Linked DNA regions of Stegostoma tigrinum. The protein of the gene in region 2 purifies or fractionates together with the protein of the main gene of each other region. This does not show direct contact. Links are inferred from orthologs where the notes say so. Each region holds a gene or a part of one and is shown on either strand. Other genes may lie near its edges. The genes, in order: kdm5a, gatad1 and phf12b.

The links.
Region 1: the proteins of gatad1 (region 2) and kdm5a purify together in Homo sapiens (affinity purification with mass spectrometry; 6 studies listed by BioGRID and IntAct, with this or other methods). This does not show direct contact. The link is inferred for Stegostoma tigrinum from reciprocal best matches to the Homo sapiens genes GATAD1 and KDM5A.
Region 3: the proteins of gatad1 (region 2) and phf12b purify together in Homo sapiens (affinity purification with mass spectrometry; 7 studies listed by BioGRID and IntAct, with this or other methods). This does not show direct contact. The link is inferred for Stegostoma tigrinum from reciprocal best matches to the Homo sapiens genes GATAD1 and PHF12.

Annotation. Positions count from the first base shown.
Region 1 is NC_081371.1:279,920-287,752, reverse strand, and holds the start of kdm5a (lysine-specific demethylase 5A), read left to right. Parts: upstream 1-4,751; 5' UTR 4,752-5,000; coding exon 5,001-5,147; intron 5,148-7,833. UniProt on the Homo sapiens protein: Histone demethylase that specifically demethylates 'Lys-4' of histone H3, thereby playing a central role in histone code. Does not demethylate histone H3 'Lys-9', H3 'Lys-27', H3 'Lys-36', H3 'Lys-79' or H4 'Lys-20'.
Region 2 is NC_081355.1:108,519,014-108,526,347, forward strand, and holds the start of gatad1 (GATA zinc finger domain-containing protein 1), read right to left. Parts: upstream 3,007-7,334; 5' UTR 2,870-3,006; coding exon 2,660-2,869; intron 205-2,659; coding exon 79-204; intron 1-78. UniProt on the Homo sapiens protein: Component of some chromatin complex recruited to chromatin sites methylated 'Lys-4' of histone H3 (H3K4me), with a preference for trimethylated form (H3K4me3).
Region 3 is NC_081380.1:28,534,025-28,541,202, reverse strand, and holds the start of phf12b (PHD finger protein 12), read left to right. Parts: upstream 1-4,072; 5' UTR 4,073-4,805; coding exon 4,806-4,871; intron 4,872-5,148; coding exon 5,149-5,330; intron 5,331-7,178.

The DNA.
Region 1 (7,833 bases), on a different chromosome or scaffold from region 2:
CATCTGCCAATGTGGTATACTGTATCCACTGTACCTGGTGTGGCTTCCTCTACATTCGGGAAACCAAGCCGATGCTTAGGGATCGCTTTTCAGAACAGCTCCGCTCGGTTTGCAATAAACAACTGCACCTCCCAGTCGCGAACCATTTTTACTCCCCCTCCCATTCCTCAGACGACATGTCCATCATGGGCCTCCTGCACTGCCACAATGATGGCACCCGAAGGTTGCAGGAACAGCAACTCATATTCCGCTTGGGAACCCTGCAGCCCAATGGTATCAATGTGGACTTCATAAGATTCAAGATCTCCCCGTCCCCCACTGCATCCCAAAACCAGCCCAGCTTGTCCCCGCCTCCCTAACCTGTTCTTCCTCTCTCCTATTCCTTCCTCCCACCTCAAGCCGCACCTGCATTGCCTACCTACTAATCTCATCCCGCCTCCTTGACCTGTCCATCTTCCCTGGACTGTCCTATCCCCTCCCTACCTCCCCACCTCTTCTCTCCTCTCCACCTATCTTCTTTTCTCTCCATCTTCAGTCTGCCTCCCCCTCTCTCCCTATTTATTCCAGAACCCTCTCCGATGAAGGCTCTAGGCCCAAAATGTCAGCTTTTGTGCTCCTGAGATGCTGCCTGGCCTGCTGTGTTCATCCAGCTTCACACTGGTTATCTTGGATTCTCCAGCATCTGCAGTTCCCATTATCTCTGATTGCAGCTTTATAATACTTTGGTTAAGCCACACTTAGAGTATTGCATTCAATTCTGATTGCTACATTACAGGAAGGATGTGGAGGCTTTGGACAGGGTGCAGAAGAGGTTTACCAGGATCCTGCCTCGATTAAAGGGTCTGAGTTATCAGGAGAGGCTGGAAAAACTTGGGTTGTTTTCTCCGGAGTGGCAGAGGTTGAGGGGAGACTTGATAGCAGTCTATAAATAAGAGATGCATAGATAGTGTTGACAAGCAGAATCTTTTTCCCAGAATTGAAATGTCTAATACAGGGGGCATGCGTTTAAGGTGAGGGGGGAAGTTCAAAGGATACATGAGTGGCACATTTTTTACACAAAGTGTGTTGGAAGTTTGGAATGCATTGCTCGGTGTGGTGGTTGAGGCAGATATGATAGGGGCATTTAAGGGACTTTTAGATAAACAACAAATGGATGGATACAGACAAAAGGTAGACAGAAGGGATTAGTTTAATTTGTTGTCTTATGGGGCACAATATCATAGGCTGAAGGACCTGTTCACGTACTAAATAATTCCATGTTGCAGTCTACATGGACTTCATGAAGTTGGTTGGGTTCAGTTGATGGCATAGTTTGTGATGCACAGGAACGTTAATCATGTAGGTTCAATTCCTGTATTGGTTGAGGTCAACATGAAGATCATTTCTTTTCAAGCTCACCCTTCCCAGAATGTCATGACCTTCAGATTAAACTCACCACCAGTTGTCTCTCTCTAAAGACACAGCAGCCCTATGGGACTATAGTGACTTTGCCTTTACCCATATGGGCTTTAGTAACTTTTGGCAAGGTCTCTCATGTCAGAGCGGTTAACGATCTACAAGCCCATGGGATCCAGGGGAATTTGGCAATTTGAATCCAAAACTGGCTTAGTGGCAGGAAGCAGAGAATACTGGTTGAAGGGTATTTTTGTGACTGGAAACCTTTGTCCAGTAGCATATCACAGGGTCTGGTGCTGGGTCCCTTGCTGTCTACCATGCACATTAATGATCTAGGCCTGAACAAAGAAGGTATGATCAGTATGTTTGTAGATGACATGAAAATTGATGAACGTTGTAAGTAGCAAGGAAGAAAGACTGAGACAACAGAATGATATAGATAGACTGAACTGTGGCAAGTTAAGTTTAATCGAGAAAAGTGTGAGGTGATGCATTTTGGAAAGCAAAGCATGGAGAATGGTAGGATTATAGGACGTACGGAGGATCAGAGTTATCTTGCTGTGGATGTCCATTGATCCTTGAAGGTAACTGGGCAGGTTGATAAGATGGTGAAGAAGGCATATGGAATATTTGCCTTTATTAGCCAAACTAATGAATACAAGAGCAAGGAGGTGTACTGAAACTGTATTTAATATTATTTCAGCAACAGCTGGAGTACTATGTGCAGTTCTGGTCATCATATTATGGGAAGCACAGGTTTGAACCGGTTGTACTGAAGAAGTCATGCCAGACTCAGAATGTTAATTCTCTCGTTTTCTCCACAGATGCTGTCAGAGTTGTTGAGTTTATCCAACATTCTCTCTTTTTTTTTAAGATTTACAGCATACACTGTATCTTGCCTATATTTTCCATGCTGTACCCTGGCCTTGGCCAATTCAGATATAGGGCAGCACGGTGGCTCAGTGGTTAGTACTGCAGCTTCACAGCGCCAGTGATCTGGGTTCGATTCCAGCCTTGGGCGACTGTCTGTGTGGAGTTTGTACATTCTCCCTGTGTCTGCGCGGGTTTCCTCCAGGTGCTCCAGTTTCCTCCCAGTCCAAAGATGTGCAGTCTAGGTGGATCGGCCATGCTAAATTTCCTGTAGTGTTCACGGGTGTGTGGGTTATAGGGGGAAATGGGTCTGGGTGGGATTCTCCAAGGGGCGGTGTGGACTTGTTGGGCCGAAGGGTCTGTTTCCACACTGTAGGGAATCTAATCTAATACAGCAACATCAACATTTTGGTTTGGGACCCTTCATCAAGACTTTATAGGGGTCCTTGTGGTACAGTAGTACTGTCACTACTTCTGGGCTAAAAGGCCTGGGTTCAAGTTGAACCTGCTCCAGATATGTGTAGTAACATATGTGAACAAGTTGTTTGAAAGTATGTGCAGCAGGGATTATCACCAAAATCATTTCCCCAGTCAAAAAGGTACAATACTATGGTCCAAGTGCCTGAAAATAAAATTAGAATGGATGGATAAATTAACATGAACAGCTGAAAATCTGAAACAAAAGCAGAAATTTCAGTTTTGGAAGCATGAGTGGAGAGAAAACAGAACCAATATTTCGGGTCCAGTGACCCTTCTTCACAGCTGATAGTAACTAGGAAATGTGGTATACATGCTGAAGACACAGCGTGGGATGGGGCAGTAAGCAGATAGGTGGAGACAGAGACCAGAGGGAGAGAAACAAATTTAGACAGATAAAGGGATGGATGAAGGAGAAAAATCTGATAATAGGGACCACAAATGGGGGAAATTAATTGACTGTGCTGAAATCCAGCTGTAGTCATGACAGAGGCTGTGGTGTGATTGGTTAAAGAGTTTGGAAGGAGGTGTTCAGGGTTCTAAAATTCTTGAATTTGACTCCTGCAGACTACAGGGTTCCCAAGTGGAAATGACTTGCTGTTCTTCCAGCTTGTGCTGAGACTCGCTGGAACACTGCAGTGAGCCTGAGACAGAAATGTTGACCAGGGAACAGGTGCTGTGTTGAAGTGGCAGGCAACTGGAAGCTTGGTGTCATTTTTACAGACAGTAAAGTGCTTACCCAGTCTGTGTTTCACCTCCCCACAATGTGAGCAGCGAATACAGGCAACTAGATTAGGTAAATTGCATGTAAATCACTACTTCACCTGGAACGTGTGTCTGGAACTTTGGATAGTGAGGAGAGACTAAGTAAACGGGCAAGTGTTGTACCTTCTGTCATTGTATGGGAAGATGTGGGGGTGCAGGAAGGTGTCGGGAATAGAAACTGAACCAAAGTGTCCCAGAGGGAACATTTCCTGTGAAATGCTGACAACAGAGAGGAGACAAATATGTGTCTGGTGGTAGCATCCCACTGGAGGTAGCAGAAATGGTGGCTTACGATCCTTTGGTTGCAGACGCTGGTGGGTGAGGAAAGGAGACCCTTTTAGTGGGAGGAGAGAGTACAGGTGAGGCCAGAAGAGTTGGAAATGAGTTAAACAGGGCTAAGGGCCCTGTTCTCCAACTCTGTTGCGGCTGTTCTGACGATGTCACGTTCTGCAGAGGAACCTCATAATTTTCACATTTTCCCTTAACCAAGAATTCCCAATCACCATGGTTGACAGAGCCCTTAGTCTTGTCCGACACACCTCCCTCCCTTCGTCTTCAGCATTTATGACACCTTTTCCCAGCTTCAAACAGTTCTGAAGAAGGGTCGCTGGACTTGAAATGTTAACTCTGGGAACCATCAATTTAAGTCATCAGTTCAGAAAAGTCTTTATCCAGAAAGTGGTGAGAATGTGGATTTTGGTACCGCGGGAAGAGATTAAAATGAATGATTGGATGTGATGTACGGAAAGCTCGACAAGCACTTGAAGGGGGAAGGATAGCCTTGACTGGAACTGATTGCCCTGTTTTATATATAATCCGAAGGGCTGTAAGAATGGATGTTCGAATAAATTATATACCAACTGTCGACAGGAAATTGGATAAACACTTCAGAAAGTAAAGTCCTAAAGAAAAGGGATTGGATTCGGGTTTGTTCATTGTTTCTCTCTCTACTCACAAGCTACAGCATTTTCTGTTTTCATTCCGGAGCCGAGGACCTTGTGACCTGCTGTCCTCGGAATCTGAGGCTGTGGTCCTCAACCAATCAGAAGGTGGGACCGTGTAATAACAACCAATAGTAATTGATCGGGGGCGTTGGGGCGGGGCCATATCCAATAATACTGCAGCTGCTTTGCCGCGACAGCCAATCACCGGATCGATGAGCCCTGTAAAAACAAGTGTGTGTGAAATCTTGCTTCGCAACCCGCGAGCGGAAGTGGTGCGCGCGCCTGAGGACAGTCGCGCGCTTGCTTTGACCTTTCACCCCCACCCGCCCTCATCCTCAGGGACTGGGCCTAGGTTGCTCTCTCTGTGTGTGAGAGGCTCCCGTCGCTGCAGCGGGCGCCGGGCTCGCACTGAGCTGCAGCAGTCACCGCGTTCCTGGGTGACGCCAAGGCCCAGGCCGCGGTCTGGCGCCGAGGGACCACTCCGGGGTTGGAGCCCGGAGCCCCGGCCTCCCTTTGTCTCGGAGATTGCCTGCCGCTGCTGCCGCCATCATGTGGATATTCTCGGAGTTCATCCCGCCTCCTGAGTGCCCGGTATTCGAGCCGAGCCGGGAAGAGTTCCGGGAGCCGCTCGGGTACATCAACAAGATCCGACCCATCGCTCAGAGGAGCGGCATCTGCAAGATTCGCCCGCCCAAGGTAAATAAAAACCCTGTCTTCCCACCGCGCATCGACAGTAACTCGGGGGGAGGGCTGCGCTCGGCCTGCAACCACTTAAGAGGCCGTCGGCGGGGTAGAAGGACAGATCCCCGTGATGTGGAACCAGGAGGCCGCGATCCAACTTAATGGCGGCCGCCTCCTCTTCACAGACAACAAGGAAAACAACCCCCCCCCCCCCCCCCCCCCCCCGAGGGGTCTAGGCCCGAAACGTCAGCTTTTGTGCTCCTGAGATGCTGCTTGGGCTGCTGTGTTCATCCAGCTTCACACTCTGTTGTCAGGGAATCAAACCCTGATTGCAGCGGGTTCAGGAACGGGTGTAGTCTATCTGGAGAGAAACTGGTGTTGGGCGTCTGCCTAGAGTTTGAGTTCTCAGCCGTGGGTCGAGTCAATTTTTAAACAAAATTAATCAAGTCTACCTCTTCAAGCTGACAGTTTTGCCAACACCCCCGGAGGAAATCTGGCTATTTCTGCTATTCACTTAGGTTTCTCATCAGCACTTTTATTGAGCAGTGATCAGAGTCAGCCACGTTATTGTGGGTCTGGATGATAGTTTCCTTCTCTAAAAGATGTCAGTGAACGAGATGAGTTTATCAGGCAATCTGCAATGGATTTGTGGTCACAATTAGATTTGCAATTCTGGATTTTTTAAATTTCAAATTCCACTTTCTTCTGTGGTGAGATTTAATCAGTCCCCCAGAACCTTGAGGAAATGGTTGGGGGGGGGGGGGTGGTGGGTGGAGAGAGGGGAAGGAGGTCCTGAAATAAATAGGAAGAGAGGTGGAAAGATGACTAGTCTAAAATCACTAGTCAAAATGGTGGGGATGGAGCCAGTAAAGGTGAGTGTAGGTTGGGTGGAGATACCTCAGTCCAGGGAGGACACACCTCAGTCCAGGGAGGACACAGGTCAGAGGGGGTTGGCTGAGGATATGAGGTGGGAGGAAGGACAGTTAGGGAGGCAGGGATAATGTAGGTGGAGGGGAGATTTTGAAGCTTGTGAAGCCCACGTTGATACCATTGGATTGCAGGGTTCCCAAGTGGTCCTTGAGAAATGAGGATGTCTGAGATGATTGGGAGTAGAATGCCTCATCCTGGGAGCAGCTGCTGCAGAGAAGGAATAGGGGATGGCATTTTTGCAGGAAGGTGGGTGGGAGGAGGTGTATCCTAGGTAGCTGTGGGAGTCCACCCCCACCCCGTCTCCTACCTGCTAACCTCATCCTGCTCCCTTGACCTGTCTGTCCTCCTGGGATTGACCCAGTTCCCCTCTAACTCTGCACCTACACTCACTTTTTTACTGGCTCCATTCCCACCACTCTGACCTGTCTGACTCCTCTCCACCTATCTTCTCTTCTATCCACCTCCTCCCCTCCCTAGTTATTTCAGAACCCCCCTCCCCACTTCTGAAGTAGTGTCTAGGCCTGAAACATCAGCTTTCCTGAATTTATGATGCTGCGTGGCCTGCTGTGCTCGTCTAGCACTACACCTTTCTATAGAACAATACAGCACAGAACAGGCCGTTCAGCCCTAAGTGTTGTGCTGACCTGTGAACTAATCCAAGCCCATCCCCTACACTAGCCCATTGTCATCCATATGCTGATCCAAGGACTGTTTAAATGCCCCTAATGTGGCTGAGTTAACTACGTTATCTTGGATTCTGCTGTTCCTACTGTCTCTGAAACAATCCTGTGGAACATTACCTGGGTCTCTGGATTAACAGCCCAATGATATTACTAGTAGGCTACCACCTCCCCAATAATTCCACTTTTTTATCATTAACCCTGATTGTTCTGTTTCTAATGTTTATCCAGTTGTCTTAGAAAGTTATTTCTTTCTGCTACCCCTGAATAAGAACCAGTCCTTTCCAGTTTACCATCATTTGGTGTAAGAAAAAATCTTTCCACTGGTTCTTACGTGGGATTCTTTAAGCCTGGCATCTTGGTTGCTGATACTGCTGCCATTGAAATGGAAATAGTTTAGCCTTTGTTATGCAACCTCAGTTTTATCACCCTAGTTAAATTGTCCCCTAAACTCTGCTTCAAAGGCTACAAAGCTTCTTATTTCTCTACATAAACTGAAGTCCTTCGTGATGTTCCTGGAAAAACCCTTGATTCATTTTATTTAGTCACTGGATGAGGGTGTCACTAATCAGGCAGCACTTATTGCCCAAGGGCAGTTGAGTCAACCACATTGCTGTGGGTCTGGAGTCACATGTTGGCCAGACCTGGAAAGGATGGCATAAGTGAACCTGTTAGTTTTTTCTGACAATTGGCAATGGGTTCATGATCATCATTTAGATTCTTAATTCCAGATATTTTATTGAATTTAAACCTTCCCCCCCCCCTTCCCTGCAGAAGGCTTGATTTGTTGATGATAGGGACCTGCTTTATTTATTTACTTTATCACTTGAAGTCTGCATTATTAACTCAGTGTTTGACATCTGTAACTTTCTTTGGTGATCAGCTGGCTTGTTGAAATGTTGCAGTAGATATGGTGAGGGTATTGTGCTGTAAGACAGGGAGTTCCAGAAATAGATTGGTTGTATTTACAGGACACAAGTATGTGTCTTAGAGACTGACTGGTAGCATTGGACTTGTGCACTGTTCTTTCCTGCTGTTGGAGTTGCAGGATTGAAGGAAGCCTTGGCAAGTTGTCCTGTGATTTGTAACTA
Region 2 (7,334 bases):
ACCAATTGAAGAAATGTTTTCTTCCCTTCCCCACCTAATCTTAAATATGCCGATGTTGTACTTTTTTAATAGACTTACGTTTTTTAATTTGAATATATGTCTACGCCCCTTTCCTTTTGTAGAAACTTTCTTTTCGGCAGGTGGCATGGACCTATATTTTGTGTTCCGTAACCTTGCAGACCGCCTATGAATTTCTTGCTTTGCCTGTCAAAACAGAAGAGAAAATAAACAAGGACAAACACAGTATCGGCAAAAAATTCATAGTTACTCCAAAATTATTTATGAACAAGGAACAGTATGCTGTCTATCTCCTTGAGCTTGCTCCTTTATTCAATAAGATCACAGGGGTTGAATTTTAATCTCAACTCCACAATCTTGCTTACTCCTGAATTCATTATGGAATAACATAACTTCAACAGAATAATGAACACAGTCCAGTACAATAAATTCATTCTCGAAGTAAAAAGAATACTTGCGGTCACGTAGCGAAAAAGGCATCTCTTAGCGTGAGATAACACGTGTGAAGCTGGACGAACACAGCCGGCCAAGAAGAAGGGTCCCGACCTGAAACTCCTCTGATGCTACTTGGCCTGCTGTGTTCATCCAGCTTCACACCGTGTCATCTCAGATTCTCCAGCATCGGCAGTTCCTACTATCTCTCTTCGTCTGAGTTTATCTGTAGTTATTCAGTGACAGCACGTCATTCGTCTCATTATGCTATTAATACTGAAGAAACACCGACATAGATCAAGTTTATTTTGCTGAAACCACTTCAATAATGGCCTTAGAAAATAAAATATCAAAATGCAGAGACAGTAGGAACTACAGGTTCTGCAGAATCTGAGATAACAAGGTATAAAGCTGGATGAACACAGCAGGCCAAGGGTCTAGGCCCAAAACGTTAGTTTGCCTGCTCCTCTGATGCTACTTGGCCTGCTGTGTTCATTCAGCCCTACACCTTGTTATATCAAAATACGAGATGGCTTTGAAAAGGAAACTAAATGGGGGCATCCATAGAAAGTAAATCTAAAACTATACAAGATATTAATCAGACCAGAGCTGGAACGCTGAATAGTTTTGGGACCCTTTCTGGGATTAACAGATCAGCCAAGATCTCAATGAATGCAGGAACAGACTCTATGGGCAGGACAAGTCATATTACCATAGGACAGAAATCTCTCAATGAGCTAAGCTCATAGAAGTTCCTATAACTTTCACTTCTAGTTGGTATTGAATCAATTCAACCAGAAAGTGGAATACTAAGACTACTCAAACCTGCTGGACTGGATGAAAAATGTATCCAGTTGTTTAGATTGGGAAATCCATGTATGGATGTTTGATAAGAGCCAATCAACCTCAATAATAGGTCTGATGAAAAGATACAAACCTGAAATATTAATCGTGTTTTACCTTCTGCAGATACTGCCAGGTCTACTAAAGTACTGCAAGCATTTTCTGTTTTTACATTGACTAAACAGCCAGTTAATGCTGACCATTAAGGCAGGAATTTCAACAGCATTTGAGGATCACATCTTTCATCCCTGTCCCCAGTTTCTCATAAAAGATAAATATTTCAGGTTCGATTAAGCTCTAACATGTCATTAAACATGATATTATATGTCTTCACACTCTGCTGTGCAAAGGCAAAAACAGTGACTGCCCAGTCCTGATATGACTCCCAGTCTCCCTCTTCTGAAGTTACCCCCACACCCTGGAGTCCATGGAAAAGGAACATGTGGTGTCCACTGAAACAGTCAAGGACTTCTATGGCTGTTGGAAAATGGAGGGGCTCCAATGTATTATTACTTTCTGAAAAGACAACTTAATTTGAGCTTTGAGATAGTAGGAACTGCAAATGCTGGAGAATCTGAGCTAACAAGGTGTAGAGCTGGATGAACACAACAGGCTTAGGCAGCATCAGAGGAGCAGGGAAGCTGATGTTTCAGGTCTGGAAGCTTTGTTAACTTACATTTTGAACCTCCAGTGCCCCTTTTAGGTTTATGAAAGCTTTAATCTGATTTAACCGCCATCTTGACAGAGGGAATGGACAGGGTGAAAAGTTAAGGTTTTACTCCACAGGGTAGGAAAGTCCAAAACTAGAGAGCATTGGTTTAAGATGAGAGGGGAAAGATATAAAAAGGACCTAAGGGGCAAATTTTTCACAATGAGGGTGGTGCAAAGACGGAACGAGCTGCCAGAGGAAGTGATGGAGGTTGGTACAATTACAACATTTAAAAGGCATCTGGACGGATCTGTGAGGGTTGAGAGGGATTATAGTATAAATTCGGACAAGTGGTACTAGATTTATTTAGGATATCTGCTCGGCATCTACGAGTTGGACCGAAGAGTCTGTTTCCGTGCTTTACAGCTCTGATTCTGTTTGATTTAACTGATGAAAGAAGTACTCCTAGTCTCAGGCTGGCGCCTCTTCCCCAGGTCATCCTCTACCCTGGACAGGAATTTGAAACAGCTCAGAGCGGCCTTCTCTTCAGGCTTCTCCCAGCCTCAGAGATAATGGGAACTGCAGATGCTGGAGAATTCCAAGATAATAAAATGTGAGGCTGGATGAACACAGCAGGCCAAGCAGCATCTCAGGAGCACAAAAGCTGACGTTTCGGGCCTAGACCCTTCATCAGAGAGACCCTTCTCCCAGCCTCACCTGTTTGCCGCCTCCGCCACTGCCGCCACCGTTGCTCTGCTGAGCAGCCGGAGCTGATCCGGACCCCGCGGTCAAGCCTGAAACGGAGACGGGTCCGGGGCTTTTGCCAGCGCAGTTGTTGCAGATGATCTCGCCCTGACTGCTCTTCCTCCACATGGCCGAAGAATTGGCCTTGCACACACTGCAGGACGGCTTCAGACCCAACGGCATGTTCTCCGCGTCTCCAGCAACAACCCACACAGACGCGGCCTCCCCTCCCCAGATACAACGGGATCGCCACCGCCCCACCTACTGGTGGGAGGACCGAGTGACCGTGACCGTGACCGCCACCGCCACCGCCCAGAGCCTTCGTACAGGAGGGAGGACCGAGTGCCGGCGCTCCCCTAGCGGCGGGAGGGCCATCTAACTGCGTCCCCCCGCCCCCGAGAGGGAGGAGGCGACCGGGACGCAGTGAAGAACTGGGAAACGCCGCCCCCTTGCCGCGAGAGGATTAAATTCGCATGGAAATGAATCATAGAATTGTTACCGCGCGGACCATTTGGCCCATTGTACCCGCACAGGCTCTTCAAAGTAACATCATTTACTTAGTGCCATCCGCCTGATTTTCGCACATAACCTTTGCAAAGTATTTCTATCCAAATAATCATCCAGTGACTTCTTGAATAGCTCATTCGAACCTACCTCCACCACAGTGGCAGGCGGTGCATTCCAAACCTGAATTTTGGATTGTTACATGTTATTTTTCCAACGTTACAATGATCACTATCTCCTAAATGATCTCCTACTGACACTTGATCCACCTCATTTCCAAGGAGAGTCTAACTCTTTACCAAGGACCAGGTACAACAAAACTCACTCTTTCTTGTTGGACCCAACATTTATCTCCTAAACATGTTGAAAGGGGGGGGGGGCAGATTTTTCTTTAATTACCCAACTCTATGCTAGGAATCTGAAGTCCCTCATAAAAACAACTCATAGAATGGTGGTAATAAAGTGTGGAGCTGGATGAACACAGCAGGCCAAGCAGCATCTTAGGAGCACAAAAGCTGACGTTTCGGGCCTAGACCCTTCATCAGAAAAGGGGGATGGGGAGAGGGTTCTAAAATAAATAGGGAGGTAGGGGGAGGCGGATCGAAGATGGATAGAGGAGAAGATAGGTGGAGAGGAGACAGACAAGTTAAAGGGACAGGGATGGAGCCAGTAGAAGTGAGTATAGGTGGGGAGGGGTTAGGTCAGGTCAGGGAGGATGGACAGGTCAAGGGGGTGCGATGAGTTTAGTAGGTAGGAAATGGGGGTGCGGCTTGAAGTGGGAGCAAAAGATAGGTGAGAGGAAGAACAGGTTAGGGAGGCAGGGACGAGCTGGGCTGGTTTTGTTAGGCAGTTGCGGGGAGGGGAGATTTTGAAGCTTATGAAGTCCACATTGATACCATTGGGCTGCAGGGTTCCCAAGCAGAATATGAGTTGCTGATCCTGCAACCGTCGGGTGACATCATTGTGCCAATACAGGAGGCCCAGGATGGACGTGTCGTCTAAGGAATGGGAGGGGGAGTTGAAATGGTTTGCGACTGGGAGGTGCAGTTGTTTGTTGTGAGCCAAGCGTAGATGTTCTGCAAAACGATTGCCAAACCTCCACATGGTTTCCCCAATGTAGAGGGAGCCATAACGGGTACAGCGGATGCAGTATACCACATTGGCAGATGCGCAGGCTGCACAAGGGATCCAGGGAGAGCTAGCTAATTGTACACAGAATTGGATTAAGAGTAGGAGACAGAGATTGGCAGTAGAGGTAACACAGTGTGGAGCTGGAGGAACACAGCAGGCCAGGCAGCGTCAGAGGAGCAGGAAAGCTGATGTTTTGGGTTAGGATCCTTAGGGGCAGCACGGTGGCTCAGTGGTCGGCACTACAGCCTCACAGCACCAGGGGCCCGGGTTTGATTCCAGCTTCAGGTAACTATGTGTGCGGAGTTTGCACATTCTCCCCGTGTCTGCGTGGGTTTCTTCTGGGTGCTCCGGTTTCCTCCTACAGTCCACAGATGTGCAGGCTAGGTGGATTGGTCATGCTAAATTGCCTGTAGTATTCAGGGGTGCGTGGATTATAGGGGGATAGGTCTGGGTGGGATGTCGCAAGGGGCAGTGTGGACTTGTTGAGCGGAAGGGCCTGTTTCCACACTGTAGGGAATCTATTCTTCAGAAATTCAAAACATCAGCTTTCCTGCTCCCTTGATGCTGCCAGGCCTACTGTGTTCCTCCAGCTCCACACTATTATCTCTGATTCCAGTATCAGCAATTCTCATTATTTCTTGGCAGTAGAGGGTGTTTTTCAGACTGGAGGCCTATGACCAGTGTGCCACAAGCAGTGATGCTGGGTCCACTGTTGTTTGTCATTTGTATTGATGATTTGGAGGGGAATACAACAGGCATAGTTAGTAAATTTGCAGATGACACCAAAATTGGTGGTACAGCAGACAACAAAGATGATTATCCAACAGTACAATGGAACCTTGATCAACTGGGTCAGTGGGCTGAGTTGTCGCAGAAGGAGTTTAATGCAGATAAATGTGAATTGTTGCATTTTGCTCAGTGTTGTTGAACAGAGAGACCAAGGGGTACAGATACATTGTTCCTTGAAGGTGGCATTACAGGTGAACAGGATGATGATGAAGGCAGCATTTTGCACACTTGCCTTCATTGGTCAGAGGACTGAGCGCAGGGATCGGCCGTCATGTCACAACTATAATTCTGGTCGTCCCAGAAAAGGGTGTAGAAAAGATCTACAAGGATGTTGTTTAAACTGAAGGGTTAGAGTTGCAAGGAAAGGCTGGGATTTCTTTTCCTGAAGAGTGGGAGGCTGTGGGGGTGACTTTATAGAGGTTTATAAAATTATGATGGGAATAAATAAAGTGAACAGCCAAAGTCTTTTACCGAGGGTAGGCAAGTTGAAAACTGCAGGGCATAAGTTTAAGGTGAGGGGGGAAAACAAATTTAAAAGGGATCAGAAGGACAACTGTTTCCACACAGATGGTGGTACACATATGGAACGAACTGCCAGAGGAAATGGTAGAGACAGATACAATTACAACATTTAAAAGACATTTGGACAAGTACATGGTTAAGAAAGGCTTAGAGGGATATAGGCCAAACTTTGGCAGATAGGACTAATTCAATTTAGGAAACCTGATCAGCAAGGACGAGATAGGCTGAAGGGCCTGTATCCATGCTGAATACCTCTGATTCCTATTTGTGTACTCATTTGTACGTAACACTGGGTCGAGGTTTATTTGGACTGTTTATTTTGAGGGGAGAGCGATAGAGGTTTTCAAAATCACGAGGGATCTAGACAGAATAGCCACTGAGAAACTGTTCCATGTTGATTACAGGACTGAGAACCAGATGGCACGGATTTTAAGAGATAATGGGGACTGCAGATGCTGGAGAATTCAAAGATAATAAAATGTGAGGCTGGATGAACACAGCAGGCCAAGCAGCATCTCAGGAGCACAAAAGCTGACGTCTCTGATGAAGGGTCTAGGCCCGAAACGTCAGCTTTTGTGCTCCTGAGATGCTGCTTGGCCTGCTGTGTTCATCCAGCCTCACATTGGCACGGATTTTAAACTGGTTTCCAAAAGCAGCAAATATGAGATGAGAAAACGTTTTCAATAGGTAGTTGGTCTGGTCTAGAATGAATTGCATGGAAGCATGGTAGATGTGGGTTCAATGGAGGCATTCAAGAGAACATTGAATTGGAAACAATAATCATCCAATATTCAGGGTAACAGGGAACAGGCAGGTATTTAGCAATGCTTAGAGAGCTGTTGCAGTCACAATGGATTGAGTGGCTTTCTTCTTCACCCTAACATTTCTGTCACAGTCCTGTGGAAGGATCACCGCACCTGAAATGTTAACTCTGTTTTTTCCTTCACCGATGCTGCCAGACCTGCTGAGCTTTTCCAGTAACTTTGTTTTTATTTCTGTCACCGTGTCATGCATTATTCTCTCATCATTTCTCTGTAGCTGCTGAAATGGTGTATCACCTCTCCTTACTACTACAGTTTCATCATCCACAGTGTTGTGCTTTAGTGTTAATTACAATCTGTTCTGCATAAAGTTTATGCTTTAGTGGCATTTGAGTTTTAAATGTTTTGACACTTCATGGTGTTGCAGGATACTGCTACTCAATCTTCCTCAGATAATTTCAAACTGTTACAATGCAAACAGCTCTCAAAAGAACACATCCGCTATCAGGAATTCACCTGGTGTTCCTCAAACAAACTGTTGGTAATACTCATAATTCAGAAAGCATCAATGCGTAATGACAGAGCAATGTTTCAGGTTGACTATCTTTTCTACTGATCTGAACTGTTAACTCAGTTTATCGCTCCAAAGATGCTGCTTGACCTGCTGGAGTATTTTCTAGTACCTAGTTTATGTTTTATATTCCAACCATTTCCACGTTCAGATTTCATATTAATAGTCTACAATACATCTAGCAATTGTCTCAGTGCTCTTGGTGGGAACAGTGTGTACAAATTGGCTGCAGGTTCCTCCAATAAAACTATGATTACATATCAAAAGTACTCAGATGTACATCTTACCTCCCTTCTTCCAAGTTTCATCATACTTTGTTTTGCAATTTCTTTGCCATTTTTATATCTCCCCTTTCATTTCTTTATTAAAT
Region 3 (7,178 bases), on a different chromosome or scaffold from region 2:
AACATGCACGGTTTCCACTGTCAAGAGGGTGGCCCCACAAGATATCTACTTGACCTTCGAGAAAGTAGTCATGGTTTCCCTCAGAGGATGCACTAGCTAGGCTGCCTACTGCATCCTCTCCCAACCCAGATTCTAACACATCAGCGGGTATTTTAGCTGGATTAAAGTCAGCAGGACATGTTGGTAAGCACAGTACTACCACATCTCCACAGTTGACCAAGGAAGAACTACTCTAAAGTTGCTGGTACTTTGATGACTACCGGAGAACAGGCACCTGCTCAGGTTCTGGTAGGAGGGGACCCAACAGGGTCAACAAATCACAACTTCACCGAAATGCACAAATAGACACAGAAGCAGCCAGCAGGTTTGTTGAAGGCACGAGACAAACTAACTCAAAGGTTGGAGGATTCCACCAAGGCTGTTTGTACTGTGCTTTCTTTGGCACAGAAGTGTCTGTCTGCCTCTATGGACAATTGTCATGGAGACCCAAGTCTAGCATACAGACCACCAGCTAGATTTATGCACAGGCCTATACTCCATCAATCTAACCAGTACCAACAGCAATGCCACAGAGGAACAAGGGACCTTACGGTAAGTCCAAGTGCCCCTTTCTCACAAGTGAGAGGCCCCAACTAGTACAAATCTAGCCAGAGGAGGAGCTACATATAGGCTCCCCAGAAGTCTACTCTAAAATGACCCTAGAGCTGGCTGCACCTTCTATATCAACACTGACTACCATCCTCACCCCTACGGGAGTTCAAACCGAGGAAGGTGCACCAACTTCTGTGCTGAACACATCTAGAATGTCTGTGCCCTCTCGCCACAAATGTCACCAGGCTTGTCTAACCAGGAGTCCCCCTATGTTTTCTGCCATGAAATATTCCCTCGGATGTTGTCCAAGATAGAGGACCAGAAGAATATGTGGCGATCTAGAGTTGCCAGGCAACAACTCTGACTTTCATGTCAGGAAAACTCACCATCTAGTTTCTATCCGGTCGGTGGGAAACTGGACATCACTGACATGAGATTAGGAAAGAACAAAATGTTAATACGCGCAGAGAGACCCTCAGGTTAAAAGTCTGATATGGTACCAAATGCTATCAATACTTAGATTGCATATACAATTGAACTAATCAGCCTGCATATTTGCAAAGTTCCTGAAATCTATATCTTCTTTCCTGTCCGGATGCTCCTCTGAAGTGATATTCCACTGGCTACAGCATAGCTGCTGCAAAATGCTGAGTTTCAGTGCAGGAAGCTGCAGATGGCCTTGGAGGAAAAACTTGAGCAGCCACGGGCCAAGGAAGATTCAATTTCAGAATTCACAACTGAATATTTGTTTCCAAATTAAAGGCCACCATTCTCAGCGCAAAACCAGAAATAATTGAGCTGTTGCTGAAAATTTATCCCTGCTTTTGTCACCTCTACAGTCACCCATTCCGATTCTGTCTGGTAACCTACTCTTTTTGCACGCTTCAAAAGCTTGACCTTGTTTAAAACTCTGCTGCTTCAGAAGAGGCCTTATTTCCAATGCACTTACTACCCTTCTACTCTCTACTATATATTGATGATCAACACTTCAAATTAAAAATTTCTCATCCCTGTATTCAAATCCCTTCACAGTCACAATCTTTCTGATTTATGTGCTGCAATGCCAATCACTACCAGCTTATGCTACGGTTAGATTTCTGCCACTATTCTCTTTCCTTGATCAGGTTACCATGGTTCAGTTTACGGTGTTAGAGGTAAACTGCTGATGAGACTTAATGAGGTGAGATTCTTGCCATGAACAATACATAGCTTTTCACATGAATGTTATGATTGCAGTGGATTGTACTGTTCAACAAATCAGATCATAGAATGAAACCTGGCTTAATAGACTTCTTAACATCTTAATTAATTTGCTGGTCATTCACTGACACACAAGTACACAGGGTTTAATAGGAGAAGTTCATTGCACAAAAGCCAAAGCCAAAGCCAAAATCAAGGTCAAAAGAAAACAAACCAAGCTATCTTGATACAGGACACAGTTTTAAAAATTCTTAAAACTTCCATCAAGATTCAGTCCGCTGCCCATTCAGATCTGCGTCCAAATTAGCATTTCTCTAATTCTGGCCTCTTACATATCCACAAATCTTCACAACCAGGCATCAAGACCCAAAGCTATGAGAAACCTTCTCTCACTTCTACAATTTTGTTTCATCCAGATTTTCCATAATATATACAGCTGAAGATGGGTAACTGTACATTCTTTGCAATAACAGTCAACGCTGGAGACCCCCCCCCCCAACAAGTATGTGTCCTGAGCCCCCTATTGTACTCCATGTACACTGATGGCTATGATGCCAAATTCCAAACAAATGTCATCTGCAAATTCATGGACGACACCACTGTAGCAGGACGGATATCTAACAACCATGAGTCAAAGTACAGAAGGGAGATAGAGGCTTAGCGACATGGTGAAATGAGACCAACCTATTTTTCAGTGTTAGCAAAACTAAAGAACTGAATATTGGCTTCAGAAAGAAAGGAGGAGACACACCCCCATCTACAACAACAGAATTGAAGTTGAAAGAGTGGTGAGCATCAAGTTCCTCGAAGTAACGATAACTGACAACCTGTCCTGGACTTCCCACATAGGTGACTCTTCTTCCTCAGGCATCTCAGGAAATTTGGCATGCCCATAAGGACGCTCACCAACTTCCGCAGATGAAAAATTGAAAGCATACTGTCTGGGTGCATAACGGCCTGGTACGGCAACAGCTCTGCCTCGGATGACAAGAAACTACAGAAGATTGTGTGCACAGTCCAAAACATCATGGAAGCCAACCTTCCATCCATCAACTCCATGGTTGCTGCGGAAAGGCAGCCAACATCAGCAAAGACCTATTGCACTTCTGCAATGATCTCCTACAACCTCTTCTGTCAGGCAGAAGATACTGAAGCCTGAACACACGCACCATCAGGTTCAGGAACAGCTTTTGCCTGACCGTTATTAGACTGATAAATGGACTCTCTTGTCTCAAATAAGGTTGATCTTGCTAAACATCGATTTCGCCTAGCACATGACCTGTGCAATGTAACCCATATAGATCAAAGTAAATCCTTCTTTACTATGATCTGCCTGTACTGCTTGTAAACAAAATTTTTCACTGTACTTCAGTAGACAGTCAGCTTTTTGACCAAGTTTTTGTCCTGATATTTCTGATTTTTTTTCAATTCTTGTGCAATATAACACTTCAGGACATTTTCCTATCCCACAGACTGTATACAAAATACATGTTGTCATGGTGAATGTAGTTACTTTTTACTCAGAATTGGCTGCAAAATGCAAGGTTCATGATCTTGTCTAATTTCAAATTACGGCTCTCTTTGATTAATTTCGTGAAAGGTTACACGAAACTGAAATCAAAACTACTGACACTTTTCATCACAGGTCACAGCATATGTTGACATGATAAAATATGAAATGAGAGTACACATAAACCACCTTCGTCCATGTCTACAAAATCAAATAACTTAAGGGCAACTCCAAGTTAAGGTCAAGAACAGGACAAATAAGTGCAAATAACAACTCGCAAGTTTGTAGGATTTGGAAGCTGCTCGAGATTCAAGGCACCCTCGTAACTTACACTACTGCTCCCAAGAAGCCGCATCCTCACGTTACTGCCTAACGCAGTCTTGACACAGGACATGCGCAGTAAATGGGGGTCGTTGTGCGGGAGGTAGGCTGCGCATGCGGACTTGTCAATGAATGGATTGTGGGGGAGGGGGAGGGTTTGTAAAGTTAGGGTGAGAGGCAGAAGGGCGGGAGGGAGAAAGGGAGTGGAAGCGGATTGGCCGAGCGCTGCCCGGATCGCGATCACGCGACGGGGAGTCGGGGGCTGACGTCAAGAGATGACCGCGAGCCTCAGCCCCTCACCCTTCCGACGGGCACGCGTGCGCATTTCGCGCAGGCGCAGCGATAGAGTAACAAAAAACCCCAACGGCCGGTTGCGCAGGCGCGTTGGCTACTTGCTTGGAAAGACCCGGCGCGTGCGCAGTCGTATGCCCCTTTCTTCTCTTTTCCTCCCCTTCCTCTCCCATCCCCCCATCAACCAGCAGGCACTTGCGCAGTACGTGTGTGGTGTGTGTGTGTGTGTGTGTGGAAAGTTTGCGCCAACTTGGAGGCAGAGAGAGAAAAAATGTAAAGCGAGCAGCCTGGCCTCCGAGTGTTTGTGTATGTGCTGGCGGCCTTCAGACAGCACCGAGAACCGGGTGACAGATCGCCTCCGGCAGCCGTGGCCTTCTCCTCCCTCCCCACAGTCCGTCCGGCTTCAGGATTTATCCGCTTCATGGTGGTGCCTCTGGGGGGGTCTCTTCGCACGGATGGAAAGCAAGTGGTTCGACACGAATATTATTGTCGCCCAGGGAAGGCTTCGTGTCGGTTAGGCCCTGGTCGAGGCCTGGCTGCGTTGTTGCTGCTGCTGTCGTCGCTGGAGCCCGTTGAATCGCGAGCCGGGATTTCTTGTGGATTTATAAATATTACTATTATTATTATTATTCTGATTGTTTTTTCTCGGACACTGGTCCCGATCTGTGCCTTCGTTTTGGCCAAGAAAGTGGGAAGCTAAGCCAGGGTTTGAGGGGGGTGAATACCCCCCCCCGACCCTTTTCCACCCCCCAAAAACCCATTTTCGTCTCTTTCCCCCCCCTTACGGATTTTTTGTGGGTGTTGGTGACAGCTCAAGGGGGGGGGGGAAACTTGTCTGCTGCTGCCTCGCCACCTTTTTTTTAAAAAAGGAAAAGAAAAGCGGCCGTGTTGAATGTGGGATAAAATGGAGACCAAGACGATTGTCTACGACTTGGATACCTCCGGAGGGCTGATGGAGGTGAGGCTTTTTCTTTGCTCCTCTCAGCTGCTGATCGCGCCCAAACAAATCCACAGCCAGGATTAGGATTAAAAACAGCAAAATTCATTTCTTTTTGCTTATTTAAAAAAACCTCAATACAAATGGCATCTATCTTTCTCAACCGTCTTTTTTGTTAAATAAACAAACGTTTTGGGTCTAGTCTTTTTTCGGCCTGCATGGTGAAAATGGTTTAATCTTACGACCCCCCCGCCAACCCTTCTCCCTTCTCTTCCTGTTTTTATTCTCTTCGCTGCAGAAAATCCAAGCGTTGTTGGCCCCTCCGAAGAGCGAGGAGAGCGACAAGAAGGCCAAGAAGCTGGAGAAGGAGCCGAGGCGGAGCGGCCGGGCCACCAACCACGACACTTGCGATAGCTGCAAGGAGGGGGGAGACCTACTCTGCTGCGACCATTGCCCGGCCGCCTTCCACCTCCAGTGCTGGTCAGTACTTGATGCAAGCGTCGATCTTTCCTCCAGCCCCTCTTACAGAGGGGGACACCTAACTCGGGGATCTGTGATACTGGGGATGGGGGTTTCTTGATAGAGAGCGGCCTGCTTCATCCAGCTCTATACCTTGTTATCTTTGGTTTAAACCTTCTTGGGTTTTTGTGTGTTTTTTTTTGTCTGCTGTCTTTCCCAGGCTGGTGTGTGGTTTTAGGTGTAGTTTCCTAGGTTTGGCCTCAAGGTGTGTGGACCTCGGTTGTGTTTTAGTGGCTGCTTTCTGTACTGCAGTTGTTGCGGCTAAACGATTTCCTTGTCCTGCTCTCTTCTCTCCCCCTGCCCCCGCTCCACGTTTGAGAGGTCTAAGCGAATCCTGCAGCTGGACCTGAACTTTAGAAAGGTGAAGGAAGCTATACACGCTTAAACAAGTGGTTGTCCCGTTAATTGGAGGAGGTTCTGCTGTCACCACATTCGGATCTTCATTGCCAATGCACCCCTCTTCTGACTTTGCAGTTAGGGTCTCATTAAAGTATATGGTAGCAAGATGGGTAGGATAGGGGCACAGTGACTAAACACACCTATCCGCTTCTCATCATCATGGCCTTGTTTGTCCTCAGGGATAGTTTCCTACAAATAGGCCTGGTCCCTGAGCACCCATCTGGGCACCGAGCCGGATGCCTTCCTTTCCTTCACTTAATGTGTTTGCAAATACGCAACATGGCGACCTCCGTTTAAATTATATTTTCTACTCGGAGCGCCATTTTAGTTGACTTCTCGGTTCTGGAGGTTAGTGTCCGATTTAAACTGAGTTCGAAAGGCTCTTGGAAATTTTGTAAAGAAGTGGAGGAGTTCTGATAAATCTCTGGTACACTTTTTCGCTTATTGTTTTATCATTTTCAAGATTCTCTTTTTAAAAAAAACTCACGAAAGTCATGTTATCCCTGTGATTTAAGATTATACAAAGGCATTACATGAAAGTTATTCCATTCAGTCTTGTAATGTCAGTTTATCTCTAATTTTTTTGGCGCTTATCGAGGATTTAAACTTTTCACTTTAAATATGAGAATGCTTGAATGGTCAGTGTAAATATCTCACTGACCGAATAAAACGCACTAGATTTTAATATTTATCTATATCAAGCAGTAAAAAGTACTACTTTACAAGACACTGGCACTTGACAACTTAAATTTAGGTCAGACAATATCTTTCTAAGTTAGATCACTTTGATATCTGAATAATCTATTAAATTTCCATTGACATCTTGCTTTATAAACTGGTTTGTTAGATTTCTAGAGTTCTTCCAGGAGAAAAATGTAGTTGTTAATGCCTTTATGTCTGCTGTACTTTAACTCCATCTTGTCATCAGTATTGTGGTTATATGATTGTCCAGTGCTGTTATTCCCCATAGTCTTTGGAGCACTTTGCTATGTTGAGTTTTGGAATTCTTGTGTTGCATTATTATGCTGTTAAGGTCGTTGAGAATGATTGTGTCCAAATGTATAGCCTATTCAGATTCTAAAGTTTTGGAACTTTAACACTTATTTTGATGTTTTAAACACTTAATTAACCTAATTAAATGTTTTGAATTATTCCTTTTAATTCTTGGGGCAATTTTAATTGAAGGTCAAACTTTATTGTAAATGAAGAGGACTTGCATTAATTTTATGCCTTTCATGACAATTTAGCTTTATAGCCAATAGACCAGTAGTAGAGTAAGAAATACAGTGGTAATTGTAACAAGTCAAGCTTTACAAACAGATGTGAGAATAACCAGGAAATGTTTCAGGTGTCAGTTGAAGGCTAAATATTGCCAAGACTCTGGGGTAATTTCCCTGCTCTTCAAAATGT